Linked DNA regions of Drosophila melanogaster. The protein of the gene in region 2 purifies or fractionates together with the protein of the main gene of each other region. This does not show direct contact. Each region holds a gene or a part of one and is shown on either strand. Other genes may lie near its edges.

Region 1 (6,309 bases), on a different chromosome or scaffold from region 2:
TACATGCCGAAGGTCATCTTCTCGCCGAAGCTCAAGCCCGACTTTGTGATATCGAGGAAGCCCTCGTAGCCCTTGGTCATAAAGTTGCCGTATCCGAAGGGATTGGCCATTGGTGGCCAGTAGGGTCCCTGTGTTCCATTGCCCGTGAAGTTCGTTTGGGCCGTATAGGGTGGCTGGGCACTGGGTGGCATCGATGCCTGGCTCATTGCCGATCCGCTGGTCAGATTGTGGATGTTGATCCTGGGCGGTCGATTTGCCCGCCGTGAAGGCGGCGGTGTGCTGGGAATGGGTGTTATGCTCTGGGTTTGCGACATGGTCGGTTTTTTTTTTGGTATATCCGGGAATCTATATGGATTCGCTTTGCAATTTTCTAATTGATATCCGTAGGAACTCAAAACATTGGGCACTTTATGGTCATTATTCAAGTTCCGTTCACATACATATATCGCGGCGGTTGTACTTATATATTTGTATTATTTTTAAGTTTATAAGTAGAAATGCCGTCGCGATTCCAAGGCGCCGCGTATTTATTTCTTCGCGTACTTTTTTTTCCCGCTTCCGACCGCCTCGTTCCTGAATCCAATGCGAACTGAACAGACGCCAAATATTTTGGCCAACATCGCTGCTGTTGTCGCTGGGCATAATGCTGTAGTATTTGTATCGGCCACGAATCTCCGGCTGCCGACTATGACGACATCGAAAGTCATGAGCTCACAAGCCTGCCAACAAGTCCAAGACCTAGAAGACCCAACGGATCTCAGCGTACACTGACGAAAAAAATGGTCTATGTAATGCCTAATGCTATGATTTAATTAATATTATTGGCTATAAGGTGGTTAACAAATGTTTAAAGTTAACATTAGTTACAGCGTACAATTATTTTTTACCTATCGACTAAAATGTTTTCCAATTTCTGGTAGTGTACAGCCATGATAATTTTATAATTAGTCAAGTTTTCGGCTTCCTCAGCCGATGCCGAAATTCTGAAATCGAGTTTTGTTCTGGTTAACGCGTAGTTTTGTTATCTCAAATAGTTTGCTATATTGTTATATTTAAATATGTTTTCTCATTAGCTAGGCATTATTGAAGTATTCATTTTCCTCTCATAATTTATCAGCTCTTAGCGTTTTCTCGCGTTTCTGGCGCTTAATAATTTGCATAAAATTAAAAGAACTGACGGTATTAGTCATTCATGATCGGCAGTCATTTACCTTTTCATAGAATTGTGTCTAATATATTCTGCCGTTGTCATTTGGCTTACACACAAATGTTGAAACACTTTCTAGGAAATGCTTAAGAAAATCCTAAATAATTAAGAACGATTAAGATGCAATTATAAACATTATACAAATTTAAATTATATGGTATTGTTTATTTATATTCCTTACCCATTTGTTTTCTTTTTCTATTTATAGTTCCTGATGGCTGATGATAACAAAAAATTCGAGGAATATCTAGATTTAGATTTTAGACTAAGATATAAAAGGACAAAGGAGTGATTTTAAAGGATTCCGACTTTTAACTTAATAAAACGGGTTCTTAAAAAGGACACATTAAAAGGACATAAAATAAGAATACATTTGCAAATTGGCGAAGGGAAATTATTAAAACTATTTTACCAAGTATCTGTAAGTAAATATTTTAAACTTTCTATACTTCTATAGAAAACTTAATCCCAAAAGATGTTTATCAAGCTCAATAAAGTTAGATTTTGAAAACCTTTTTTAACGGCACTGCCAAGCAATACTAAAGTATTAACTATCGGTATTATTCAAATATGGTAACACCAAGAGCAGTGTTGAAAATCGCTCAAATGTATATGTTCTAATTGGTGCGCTCACATATGTACATATAAACTAATAAATTGGCCATCACACAATATAGAAAATGGAAGAAAACGAGACCCGGTCAGAGGCCAGGGAACCCACGGACCTGCCCAATGGTAAGGCAGCACCACAGGAAGCCTGAACAGCCGATAACTAACCCATAACTCCAACGGCAGGTGAGGATGACGCGACCAGCCAGCACAAACTCAGTCACCTGCAGAACGAGATGCGCAAAATGCAGAACGAGTTCAACACGCAGCGGGCGAAGATGCGGGAGCTGTACATCCAGAAGGAGGCGGAGGTCAGCCAGAGCCAGCAGGAGCGACGGCAGCTGCAGGCGGAGCTGGACGAGCTGAAGACACACCTAATGGTGGCGGACCTTAAGTCGCAGAACGAGCTGCAGCTGAGGGACCTCAAGGCGCAGGAGGAGATCTCCTCGCTGCAGCAGCTGGTGCAGGACACTATCGAGGAGACCGCGCACTACAAAGGCGAGGTGGAACGGCTCAGGCTGGAGCTGGGCAAGTACCAGCAGATTCAACAGCAGACGATGGCTCAACAACCGCAGGCCGAGTCATCTGGCGGTATAGCGCCGCAGGTGCTCAATCAGGTCAAGAAGACACTAGGCTCTGTGCGTAAACTGGGCACCGACTCCCTGAACAGCAGCTTTCAGCAGGACGAGGACACCCGGGCATCGAGCAAGGGCAATGGCAAGCAATACGTATGTTTTCGGGACTAATCTTTCAACTATCAAATTAACTGAGCTTATATTGCAGGCTCCTGAGGAGGCGGAGATGATGCACTCAATTGTCGAGCAGCTTCAGGAGGAGATGAAGGCACTAAAAGTGAAGCTGCGCGAACAGGACGAGCAACTGCAGGCCAAGTCGGCGTCCGATGAATCCGCCCTGCACAAGTCCACGTCCATGGACGTCGCCGAGAGCGCCTGCGAGTCGTGCAGCTTGGCAGAAAAGAAGACCGAAGAGCTGGGTGCCCATATAAACAAACAGCAGAAACAGGTGGATCTGCTGCAAAAGCAGCTGGTGGAATCCCGGGAGACACTGGTTAAGGAGGCGGCATTGCGCAAGGATCTGGAGGACCAGTGGCAAGAAAAGCGGGAGGCCCACAAAAGCGAAGTACAAAGCCTGCGTGACCAGGCCAAAACCAACGAGCAGCGACTGCTGGACATGCAGCAAAAGTTTCTCGAGACCAAGGACGAGGTTATTAAGCAGATCCAGCGCGTCTCCGACGACCGAGAGCGGGTCAACAAGCAACTGGAGACGTTGCAGGCGGACAACGACTTTCTGTCCGGTCGCTATCTGGCCACGTCCGAGGAGATCGACAACCAATATATCAATCTGCCCAACACGGTCGTCGAGCTCCAGGAGCTGATACTGCGACAGCAAAGCGAGCTAATCCAAGCACGCGTCAGCAGCGAATACGAGCGACAGAAGTGCACCAGCACTGAAGATGAGATTCAGATCTTGCGGGCCCAGCTGGAGGAGAGCAACAATGAAAGGCGGGCCTACAAGCGCAAAATGCAACTAGATATTAAGTCACTGCAGTAAGTTACAACCTCTTGTCTATGGTGGTGTTCACTTTGGCCCACGTTTTAAATGAATTTTCAGGGATCGGGTGACGGAACACTTGGTCACGGTACAAGCGTACGAGACTACCAAAACCCAACTGGAGCGCAAAGAGGCTGAGCTGAACAAGCAGCTCTCCGAGTGTCGCGTGGAGATCATTGAGCTGCAAGAGGCCAATGTAAGCTATCATATTTTGTTGTCACACTTGATTCTTCGCTAACCAGATCACATTACAGGAAAAGTACGCCAAAACAAATGCAGACTACAAGACGAAGATAAAAACACTACAGGAGGAACTCTCCACCATGGAGACTGTTCAAAAGGACTTTGTCAAACTATCTCAAACGCTTCAGGTGAGTGAGATATAAAAATATATGGTTTATTCACTTAATTAATTACATTGTGTTGTGCCACAGATGTCGCTGGAGGAGCTGCGGCATGCCGACACGGAGGTGCGTTGGCAGGACGATGACGATGTGAACAACTGTCCCACGTGCAATGCCTACTTCACGGTCATGGTGCGCAAGATCCATTGCCGGCACTGCGGCCACATCTACTGCGATAAGTGTCTAACGAAAACGGTGCCATCTGGACCACGGAAGCGAGTGGCCCGAGTCTGTGATATCTGTCACACGCTGCTCACGCCAAACACCGCACCCTACTTCAGTCAGGGACAGCCGCCGCAGCAGCAGCAAGGCCAGCAGCAGCAGCAGCAGTCCAACTAGGCGTTTGGGCTCCAAGCCCAAGTGATTGTGTATTATGTGTGAAGTACGATTACGATTAGTTGGTATCTCCTTGAACTCTATTGCTCTATTTCTGTGCTCCGATACTACGATTACGATCCGAGGTCAAACCTTTCCAATGCCCATTTCCATTTGCCAATGTCTATTTCCGATTTTGTTGTTCCATTATTTTGGCCCTATACATAACGTAAGCGATGAGTTGTCTATGTTAGCTTTCGTCGTAGGTAAGTTTTCGTAACTGAATTTAACTCAAAGCAAATATACAAATTAAAAACAATTAAATTTTTGTTGTTTGTCGCCGCACATCTCTACTTGAACCAACTTTGCCTGCAATAGAGTTGATATCAAAGTAATGAATTGAGTTGTTTAATTCAAAGGCGAGCCATGCAACATAAAGTTTGTGTTCTTGTTTATTTAAAAATGCTAAGAAAAGAGTTTGTAAATTATTGTTAACAATTGTATTTGTGTCTTCATTTGGTTGCGAGGAGCTAGGATTGGTATAGGTATTTGCTAAATATTAAAACGTAATAACAATTTCGGGCATGCCCATATAAATTCAGTATATACAACTCTCACTTCAACTACCAAATAATGATAAACTAATACTGCAATCTCCGCACTCAACGAAAAACGTTAGCAACTACAGACTTCACAACACACGCACAAACACGGAGGGGGGAATCACACTACTTGAGTAGCAATTACGTCTTGTTTTGGCACACATTGTCTGCGGAAGAGATAGAAAAATGATTACCCAATTAGCCCGTCGCCGGGAGATAGCTAGATTTCAATTCGATTTCGCTTACCTCACCATAGAACACGACCTGCTATCAGAGCAACTATAGTGACAGCTGCCACGCCCACGATGCCCATCATACGATTACCTGGATTGGAAGAGTAGAAGACACAGATCAGTAAGAATTGATGGCAGTGTGTAAATCAAAGGCGTAGGAAACTGCTGCCCCAAATTTCATTTCATATGTACACTTTTAGAAGGGTTAGTTAGGGTTATTTGAGCAGTTTCCTGGAAGCTCGTTTTTATGCATGCAAGTCAAGCCAGGATTGAATATGTGGTTAGCTTTCTATAGCCGCCATTTAGTCTATAAGGGTACATATACCATGGATCAGTCTGTTTTAGGTGTTATGGGGTAGTGTGCTCTGGATCTGGTGCTTGGTGGTGGTTACACTAAACATTGCCTTGACATTCACAAACACAAATCAACCACATAGAATGATCCAATTGGACACTTACTCGTGAATCCTCAACTTGATAGATAGCGTTCTTTGCGTTCTTATTTCTTGAATTTGGACAAGTCACACGAGTGTGCAAACGTGGACTGGACGTGGTTTACTACATGGACAACAGACAGTACACAGATGCTCGACGGATGGCGGACTTCAGATCTTGATTCCTGGCGGTGCTGTAACTGTGGTGCTGTGGTTCGTGGTGCTTGGCTCGAGATGTCGATGGTTCGCGGTACAGATATTGGTTATAGACAGCGGCTTTTAAAGGTATAAAGATTGCGCAGAGCGAGAGAGACAGCATTTTCTTAGCCTAAGGATGAGCAGTTGATGAGCGCTTCTGATTGGAGCCTTAATAATATACAAATATCTAAATACAATTTTTTGAATAAGCTTTGGCTTCGAGCCTGTGATGATGCTGACAATGATGTCTGATGGATTGCGTTCTGGCCTGGCTACAGATTCTTTCTACTGCCGCTTTTCACCTGCTAGGCAGCCACAACCGGATCCAATGGAAATGTCGCGCCCGTGCTTGCTCAGCCACTCGATGATCACACCGTTGGACCAACCGAATCCAGTCTGTACCTCGTACTCGCCACCGCCGCCTCCAACTCCGAACTCATCGGCGTTGTACTATTGGGATTTAGTCAATCATTATTACTATGATTAATATGATCAAAGTAAACTCTACACTCACCTTCTCGTACATGTGCCTGTCCTTGCTAAACGCCGCAAAGTTTGTCTTCACCCACCTGGTGGCCCACTTCAGTGACATATTCTTGGCCTCGGGAGTGTTCAGGTTGTTTAGGCCCTCGACCAGGATGTACTGCATCGGTGCCCACACATTGGGGGCATCCCACTGTTCTCCGGTGTAGCTCAGCGTGTTGGGAACTCCGCCAGGGAAGCTGTCCAGCTTGT
Region 2 (7,759 bases):
CTGCCCGCCAACAGACTGAGGTACACAAGAAGATCTCCTCGGTGACGGTGAATATCAAACGGGAGCGCTCCCGTTACCAGCTCGATAGACTACGACATCTGCCCAACGGGGAGTCCACGGAGGTGGAGGAAATGGAACCACCTCCGAGGAGGAATCGCCACAAGACTGCCTGCGAGAAGTCCAAGTCGGATTTCGATATAACAAGTCTGAAGGACATGCAACCGTTGGATGCAGTGTGCTTGCCACCTCCCCAGCAGTTCCAGGATCAAGAGCAGGAGTTGGCGCTAGTCCTGGCCCCGCCGCCACCCGATGAGTTCCGTGATCCGCCACCGGAGCCAGCTCCAGCAGCACCCATAGCTCCAGTTCCTCCTCCTGCTGCTGCACTTCCCCCAACGGGAAAGACCAAGATTGTCGCTTGCCATCTGCCACCACCCCTAAAGGAACGCCAGCCCATTGGAGCCATTGATAATCCAGTGTATCACATCTACGAGTCACTGCGTCCCATCTCCACGCCGGCCATTTTCAGCAACAAGCCTGTGCTCAAGTCCCACAGCTTGGCGGAGTTGAAGAGGCCCCAAAACCTTCCTAATCACTCGATTAACCACCATTGCAAGACCCACGCCATAAATGCTAATGGTAATGTTCTGGAGAATGGTCTGGATCACGAACAGGACGAGATCAAGGAGAACTCCAATGGCCAGGTGAGGACGAACAAGCAGGGCCACGGTTCCAATACCAACTCCAAGCACAAGCGCAAGGGCCAATTGGCCTCCGCCGTGCAGGAGGCTCCTCCCAGCATCTCCCTGCTGGAGTTCGAGAAGTACCGCGAGGAGTTCCGCAAGCAGATCAAGTACCAGGGCAGCATATATTCCGACTACGTGCAGCTGGCCTCCGAACTGCCATACTTCTACATCAGCGACGAGTACCGCGCATTCTCGCCTAACGGCATGCATCTGGTCATCTGCGTCCACGGGCTGGATGGCAACTCAGCGGATCTGCGACTGGTGCGCACCTATCTGGAGCTGGGGTTGCCCGGTGTCAATCTGGAGTTCCTCATGTCGGAGAGAAACCAGGGAGACACCTTTTCGGACTTTGACACCATGACTGATCGGTAAGCAAAATACACTTCGAAGTCAATATAAATTTGATGTCATTGTTTAAATCATTTAGGCTGGTTACCGAGATACTCTACCATATCGATAGCTGCGCCCTTAATCCCGCTCGCATTTCCTTCGTCGCCCATTCGCTGGGAACGATAATTGTGCGGAGTGCTCTGGCTAGGCCACAAATGAGGCCTTTGCTCCCGCGACTGCACACCTTCCTCTCGCTCTCCGGACCCCACCTGGGAACACTCTATAATACGAGTGGGCTGGTGAACATGGGTGAGTCTATACCCATTCTTATACATTTAAGCGTGGTGATTAACCCAGGGTTGGGCCTCCTTTCGCAGGAATGTGGTTTATGCAGAAGTGGAAGAAGTCCGGATCACTGCTGCAGCTCTGCATGCGAGATACCACCGATATGCGGAACAGTTTCCTGTACCGGCTGAGCCAGAGGAGCACCCTGCACCATTTCAAGAACATCCTGCTCTGTGGTTCTAGCCAGGATCGCTATGTTCCGGCGCACTCGGCACGCTTGGAGCTTTGCAAGGCTGCCATGAGGGATAGCTCCTCGTTGGGTACCATTTACAGGTTCGATTGGAATGGCTCCTTGTTAAAATCGTGACTATAAAGATTCCTTTTCAGGGAAATGGTGCACAACATAATAGCTCCGATTTTGGCCAGGCCCGAACTGACTTTGGCCCGATTCGATGTCCACCATGCCCTGCCCCACACGGCCAACACTTTGATCGGTCGAGCGGCGCACATTGCTGTCCTGGACTCGGAGTTGTTTATTGAGAAGTTTATGCTGATCGCAGGACTGAAGTACTTCAGTTAACCAGGGCACTGAAGAAATGTCTGAAATGTCTTTAGAAGAGTCCTAGCGAATTAATCAAGTACTAAACACAGTCGGAAGATTCAACTACCAATTTGATAAAATTAAAAAAAAAAAAGATTATTTTCTTATAAGTATTTAATTACAGCATGTTTGTATAGTTTAAAAGTCATATGTTTCATTTTGTTTCTTCGTTTTGTCAAGAGTTTTGTTTGTATAACTGTATATATGGAAAGTTAAGACATATTCTTTTTGAAACTTACAATTTCTAACTTGCTGTACTTTCTGTTTTATACGCCGAACTTTTGAATACACAGGGTACTCATACATAATTCGAAGACAAAATAAGAACCACAGTCATCAGATCAGCCAAATAATTCCAATTGATCAGCGATTGGAACAAGGAATTTATTGAAGCAAATCGTTAGACTTGAATTTTTTACAAATGCAACTCTTTTGTAGCGAATTGAATACACTCAGATACGAACAAATCAAAAACCAAAGAATGTTTAATCAAAAACCTATAACCAAAACCAAAGTCAGCATAATGTTGAAACACACGCGTTAAAGATAATTACATTGTTAGCTGTAAGAGTTGAACGCATACAAAGCAAAAACAAAAGCCAAAGACATCATAAGTAGTGTTAAATTCCAGTTCAAAACTATACACGAGACTTTTTCGAAACGGTTGAATTGCAAATGGGAAGTGAACGAAAACAAGAACGATCATGTTAAGTATACGTAAACTATCGATAGTAGTTGAGCACGGCAAGGCAAGGTTGCATTTTGATGACAGTAGCGAAATAGTATTAGCAATTTTTAAGACTAATCAAAACACAAACAGAGACAAAATGGTTTTTTCCAAATCTTTTTACTGCTAGACGAGAGAACAAATTTAGAAGAACTAGAGATAAAGTAGAGGTAGTGTTGAACTAGTCGAGTTGTTAGTAGTTGAGTGCATTATTGGATCGTCAATTACGAGGAGAGCTGGACGATGCAAAGGTTTGTTTGCAGATTTAAACTTTTCATTGGGGAACAAGATCGGTAACGTAGCGTAGAGCAGTTAGGACAAAAAACTTTGCAAATTTATAGTCTAGTCTAAGCCATAACTCTGTGTTTTCTGAGCTTTTTCCAATTGCTGTTGTGAACTACTACCATTAGCGACCCTTCCAGAAATGCATTCTTTTTACGTGTATAACCGTCCTAAATGTTACTACTTTATCAACTTGCTATGTCGATATACGTGTGTAACTGGTTTTAAAAATGTTTGTGTGCATCTAAGAATTGAATGTGTGTTGAAATGTTCCCTAGGACACCACGATTTTACTACATGTATTCGATCTAATTGTGCAAATTTCCCTAAGTTGCAGTTTAAATATTTTCTTTACGAATAAAATATGCTAAAATCCAATTTTAGTGGAACATAACTGAATAGTGTTTTAATTGTATGTGGGTTTACAGGTCATATGCGAACTACGTTCTTTTTTATCAAAATTATATTCAAAAGAGGGAAATCCCCCTTGTACGAAGCGAACTAGTTCCATTCGATGGGCGGCTACTTAAAGCCGGCGAACCAGCTCATCTCTAACTTTCTGAGCGATGTCCCACCACTGGATAAAAGACCATCTGGCAACGCTGGCAGCAGTAGAATTATTTATCTCCACAATTCAGTCACGAAAACAATAAGCAACAAAGGGACTCCCACAGATAAGGGAGCTGTATTTTTATAGCCACACCTCCGAGATGTCAACGGCGGCGCGACCTCCGTCTTTGCGGCTGGGCCAGCAGGACCTCAAGTGCCGTTCAGGATGCGGGTTTTACGGAACCCCCCAAAACGAAGGATTGTGCTCGATGTGCTTCCGAGAAAAGTTTAATGATAAGCAGCGGAAGTTGAAGCGTAAGTTGAAGCGTAGGTCCCCAGACAATGCTTGCATATAACTCCAAAGCCGATGAGCGTTGAGTCATGAAGTGGTTCTTTACAGAGACGGGTGGCGAGACGGGTCCTGGATCCTCTTCCTCGGTCGCCACCTTGGATCGCCGATCGCCACAGCATGCGCACCTCCAGGGAAAAGTGGAGCAGCAGGTCAGGAAGCCGTCGGACAAGGAGCAGGACAACTTGGGAACCCTGCAAAAGAAAAAGTTTACCGCTGTGCTGCAAAAAACTCTGCAGGCGGGAGCCCAAAAAAGTAATATTGCATAGCCACACTGCCTTTAAATGCTTATACTTGGATATTCCTTAGTTACCCAACAGCGTGGTCATGTGCCGGATCCCACGGAGGGCCAGTTCCTACTGCAATTGCGGCAACTTCGCATTCCCGACGATGGCAAGCGGAAACTCAAGCTTGAAATCCAGCGTTTGGACAGCGACATCCGCAAGTATATGAACGGAAATGGCGGCAAAAACATCAACGAACTATCAGATTTGGTTCAAAACGCCTACACCAAAGTCTCAGACATTGTGCACAACGATCCCAGCTTCGAGATAGCCACCAACGAGGATCGCGATAGTGCCATTGACTTCTTTGAGAAAGTGGTGATGACGCAGAACCACAAGTGAGTCAAGCGGAACGTTGATATCAGAGGAGTACATATTTTTATCTGGGAAACTCTTTTTTTTTTTTTGCAGATTTCTCTTCAGTCCCTATTTCACTACCGATGAGGACAGTGACGTGAAGGTGCAGAAGCGGATACGCCAGCTGAGCTGGATTACGGCCAAGCATCTGGACTGCAGCATCGACGAGGTCAACTCGGAGGCCAGGGATCTGGTTTACAATGCTATATCCGAGCTGGTGGGCATAGATTCGTACTATTCGCCGCAGGAGAAGCTGCAGTGCACTTGGCGCTGCTGTAGGCACATCTTTGAGCTTCTGAAGCGGGCAACTGGAGGACCCGCCAGTGCGGATGACTTCCTACCCGCCCTAATATTCGTCGTGCTTAAGGCAAATCCAGTGCGACTGCACAGCAACATCAACTTCGTTACGCGCTTCACAAACGCTTCGCGGCTGATGAGCGGCGAGAGTGGCTACTACTTTACCAATCTGTGCTCCGCCATCGCCTTCATAGAGAATCTGAATGGCGAGAGTCTGGGCGTCAGCAGCGAGGAGTTCGAGGCTCTGATGTCCGGACAGCAGCCCTACAGCACGCCCTGGGAAAGTGCCCTGTTGGCCTGCGAGAGCCTTCACCTGATATCCGAGAACATGAAGCGAATGGAGATGCTGCAGAAAAGGAACGCCCTGATAAGCTCTGGAATAACTTCATTTGAAAAAGAGCTTATCGATTTCCAAAGAGAGGTGACGGAACGAGTAGACACCGTGATTGCCAAGGCCCCACTCAACCTGCTGCCCATCAAAACACCCGCTTTTCTGATTGGTCAAGCCAGGGCGCACCTTCTCAACGAAAGCGAGGCTGGTCATTATCAAGCGAATATGCTGCACGGCGGCTCATTGACCTCCCAGTCGCTGACAGCAGCCGGTGGGTTGGTAAAGCCCGCAGCGGCGTCTAAAGAATCTGGATTGTCCCTTAAGGATACCAGCATGAGTTCGATGGGCCGTCTGTCGCCACTTCAGCAGAACGTTCAGCCAGCCGATCACCTCTTCGCCTCTCCAATCTTTAACTACACCGCGTTTGATGCCGTCTCGCTCTTGGAGGAGCCTGTGCCCGATGCGAACACAGACGTACTCATGCTGGGCTCCGAGTTTCAAGGAGGCCTGACCAATATCAACTACGACTTCGACTTGTCGGATCAAAGTGGGGAAAACAGCACTGCGGACGAGTCAAAGCTGAATCTCGACGAATTCGACCCCTTGGCGCAGAAGGGCCTAGTTGCCAAGCCACCGCCGCCTCTGCCGGAGACCAGTCTGCTGGATAGCACAACGGATAGCCTTATAGATAGCGAAGTGCCCGGCACAGCTGTCCTGCTTCCATCCCCTCTGAAGCCCGAGGTGTCCAACTACCGGGGCTTCTCAAACTTCGATATTCCCAGCATCTCGTGCAACACGGGAGACTTTAGTTCTCTGGGACAGGACGGCGCGGATGCTCCCAAATAAACGTTTGTTCACTGGGTCACTGAATCCTGCAGCTGTGTGAATGTAAATAAGTTTAAGTGAAATATTGTAGTTAGCCCAACGCTTCAATTCAAATTTCTGCACATATTTATTTGTACCATATTTAACTAGCTTTACAGAAAGGACGTTTAATAAATGCAATCTAACACATACACAAGTTGTATTGTTTTTTACAATAAACGGTTAACTAAGTTTAATTTCTTTCCCAGGGGTAATTGCATGATTTTCAAAAGTCCCGCCAACTGGGCATCACTTATCCAATAATCTGGCAGCACTAGAAAAGTAACAAGAGAGATTGTTGTTTTCGAAATATCTCAATCACACACGATTTATTCTCAGTTTGCCTGCCGAACCGAACGGACGTGAGCGCTCACGAGAAATGGCTAGAACCCGAATTCAGATGCTGCTACTTGTTGTTGCGCTGACGGCGGTGATAAGTGGAGCAAGTGCCTCCAGCATACCGGAAGAGCTGCCCCACAATCCGCTCGAGCACGACCCCCTGCACCCCAGGCACTTCGACGGGGGCGAGCACAATGCCCAGTTTGACCACGAAGCCTTCTTGGGCCCGGACGAGTCCAAGAAGTTCGACAGCCTGACACCCGAGGAGAGCAGGCGGAGATTGGGCGTCATTGTGGACCGAATCGACGAGAACAAGGACGGGTCAGTCACATTGGCGGAGCTAAAGAACTGGATCGCCTACACCCAGAGGCGCTACATCGAAGAAGACGTGGGTCGCGTGTGGAAGCAGCACAATCCGGACAACAATGAGACCATAAGCTGGGATTCCTACATGCAGACTGTCTACGGCTTCATGGATGATCTGAGCCCCGACGAGAAGGAACAGGAGGAAAATGGTATGTAGCCCAAATCGTCATTGTAAGCAGAGGCATCAATTTGATAGGGAAATCACTGTTTTGATGGGCGGGAAACATCACATTAATCTAATCAAATTGTATTTGTTTTTTCGAACAGGAGTCAGCTACAAGAGCCTGCTGAAACGCGATCGGTACCGCTGGTCGGTGGCCGACCAGGACTTGGATGACAATCTCACCAAGGATGAGTTTACCGCCTTCCTGCACCCCGAGGACCATCCCAGCATGAAGGGTGTGGTTCTGCGCGAGACCATTACCGATCTGGACAAGGACCACGATGGCAAGATCTCGGTGGACGAGTACATTGGCGACATGTACCGATCGACGGGCGCGGAAGACGAGGAGCCCGAGTGGGTGGCTAACGAAAGGGAGGCGTTCTCCACACATCGCGACCTGGACAAAGATGGTTATTTGAACGAGGAGGAAGTGAAGCAGTGGATTGCGCCCCATGACTTCGATCATTCGGAGGCGGAGGCCAAGCACCTGCTGTTCGAGGCCGATGCGGACCACGATGATAAGTTGACAAAGGAGGAAATACTAGACAAGTACGACGTTTTCGTCGGCTCCCAGGCCACCGATTTCGGCGAGGCCTTGGCCCGCCACGATGAGTTCTAGAGTGTCTAGATACCCAGAATCCCTGAGATTAAGATTGATCCTATGAATCTCCCACTTCGCATGCCAAATAACTTGTAATCTTGTCTAGCCCTTAAGACCTTAAGAAAGTGCATTATAAACCGACTCGAATGATGGGCCTTCCTTTTGTATGTGGCACCACGACCAATTGATTTGAGGTGATTTGTTTAATTGAAAGGCGTCCACGTCAGCTCTTGGAGCATCAATGGCCACGTCACTGGAACGAAACCCCATCCGCACACACATGCGGTCACT

The links. Proteins that work in one complex are often made in the same cells at the same time.
Region 1: the proteins of Rabex-5 (region 2) and Rbpn-5 purify together in Drosophila melanogaster (affinity purification with western blotting, with the first as the bait; one study listed by BioGRID). This does not show direct contact.

What each region holds. Positions count from the first base shown.
Region 1 is NT_033778.4:21,086,505-21,092,813, reverse strand, and holds Rbpn-5 (Rabaptin-5), read left to right. Parts: upstream 1-1,809; 5' UTR 1,810-1,887; coding exon 1,888-1,942; intron 1,943-2,002; coding exon 2,003-2,544; intron 2,545-2,599; coding exon 2,600-3,384; intron 3,385-3,448; coding exon 3,449-3,584; intron 3,585-3,642; coding exon 3,643-3,759; intron 3,760-3,822; coding exon 3,823-4,131; 3' UTR 4,132-4,428; downstream 4,429-6,309. Other genes in the region: Treh (trehalase), read right to left, coding at 5,860-6,024, 6,089-6,309.
Region 2 is NT_037436.4:1,292,348-1,300,106, forward strand, and holds Rabex-5 (Rabaptin-5-associated exchange factor for Rab5), read left to right. Parts: upstream 1-3,565; 5' UTR 3,566-3,678; coding exon 3,679-3,832; intron 3,833-3,917; coding exon 3,918-4,121; intron 4,122-4,175; coding exon 4,176-4,488; intron 4,489-4,561; coding exon 4,562-5,981; 3' UTR 5,982-6,150; downstream 6,151-7,759. Other genes in the region: CG32333 (uncharacterized protein), read left to right, coding at 1-1,111, 1,171-1,382, 1,451-1,691, 1,746-1,938; scf (supercoiling factor), read left to right, coding at 6,379-6,853, 6,972-7,486.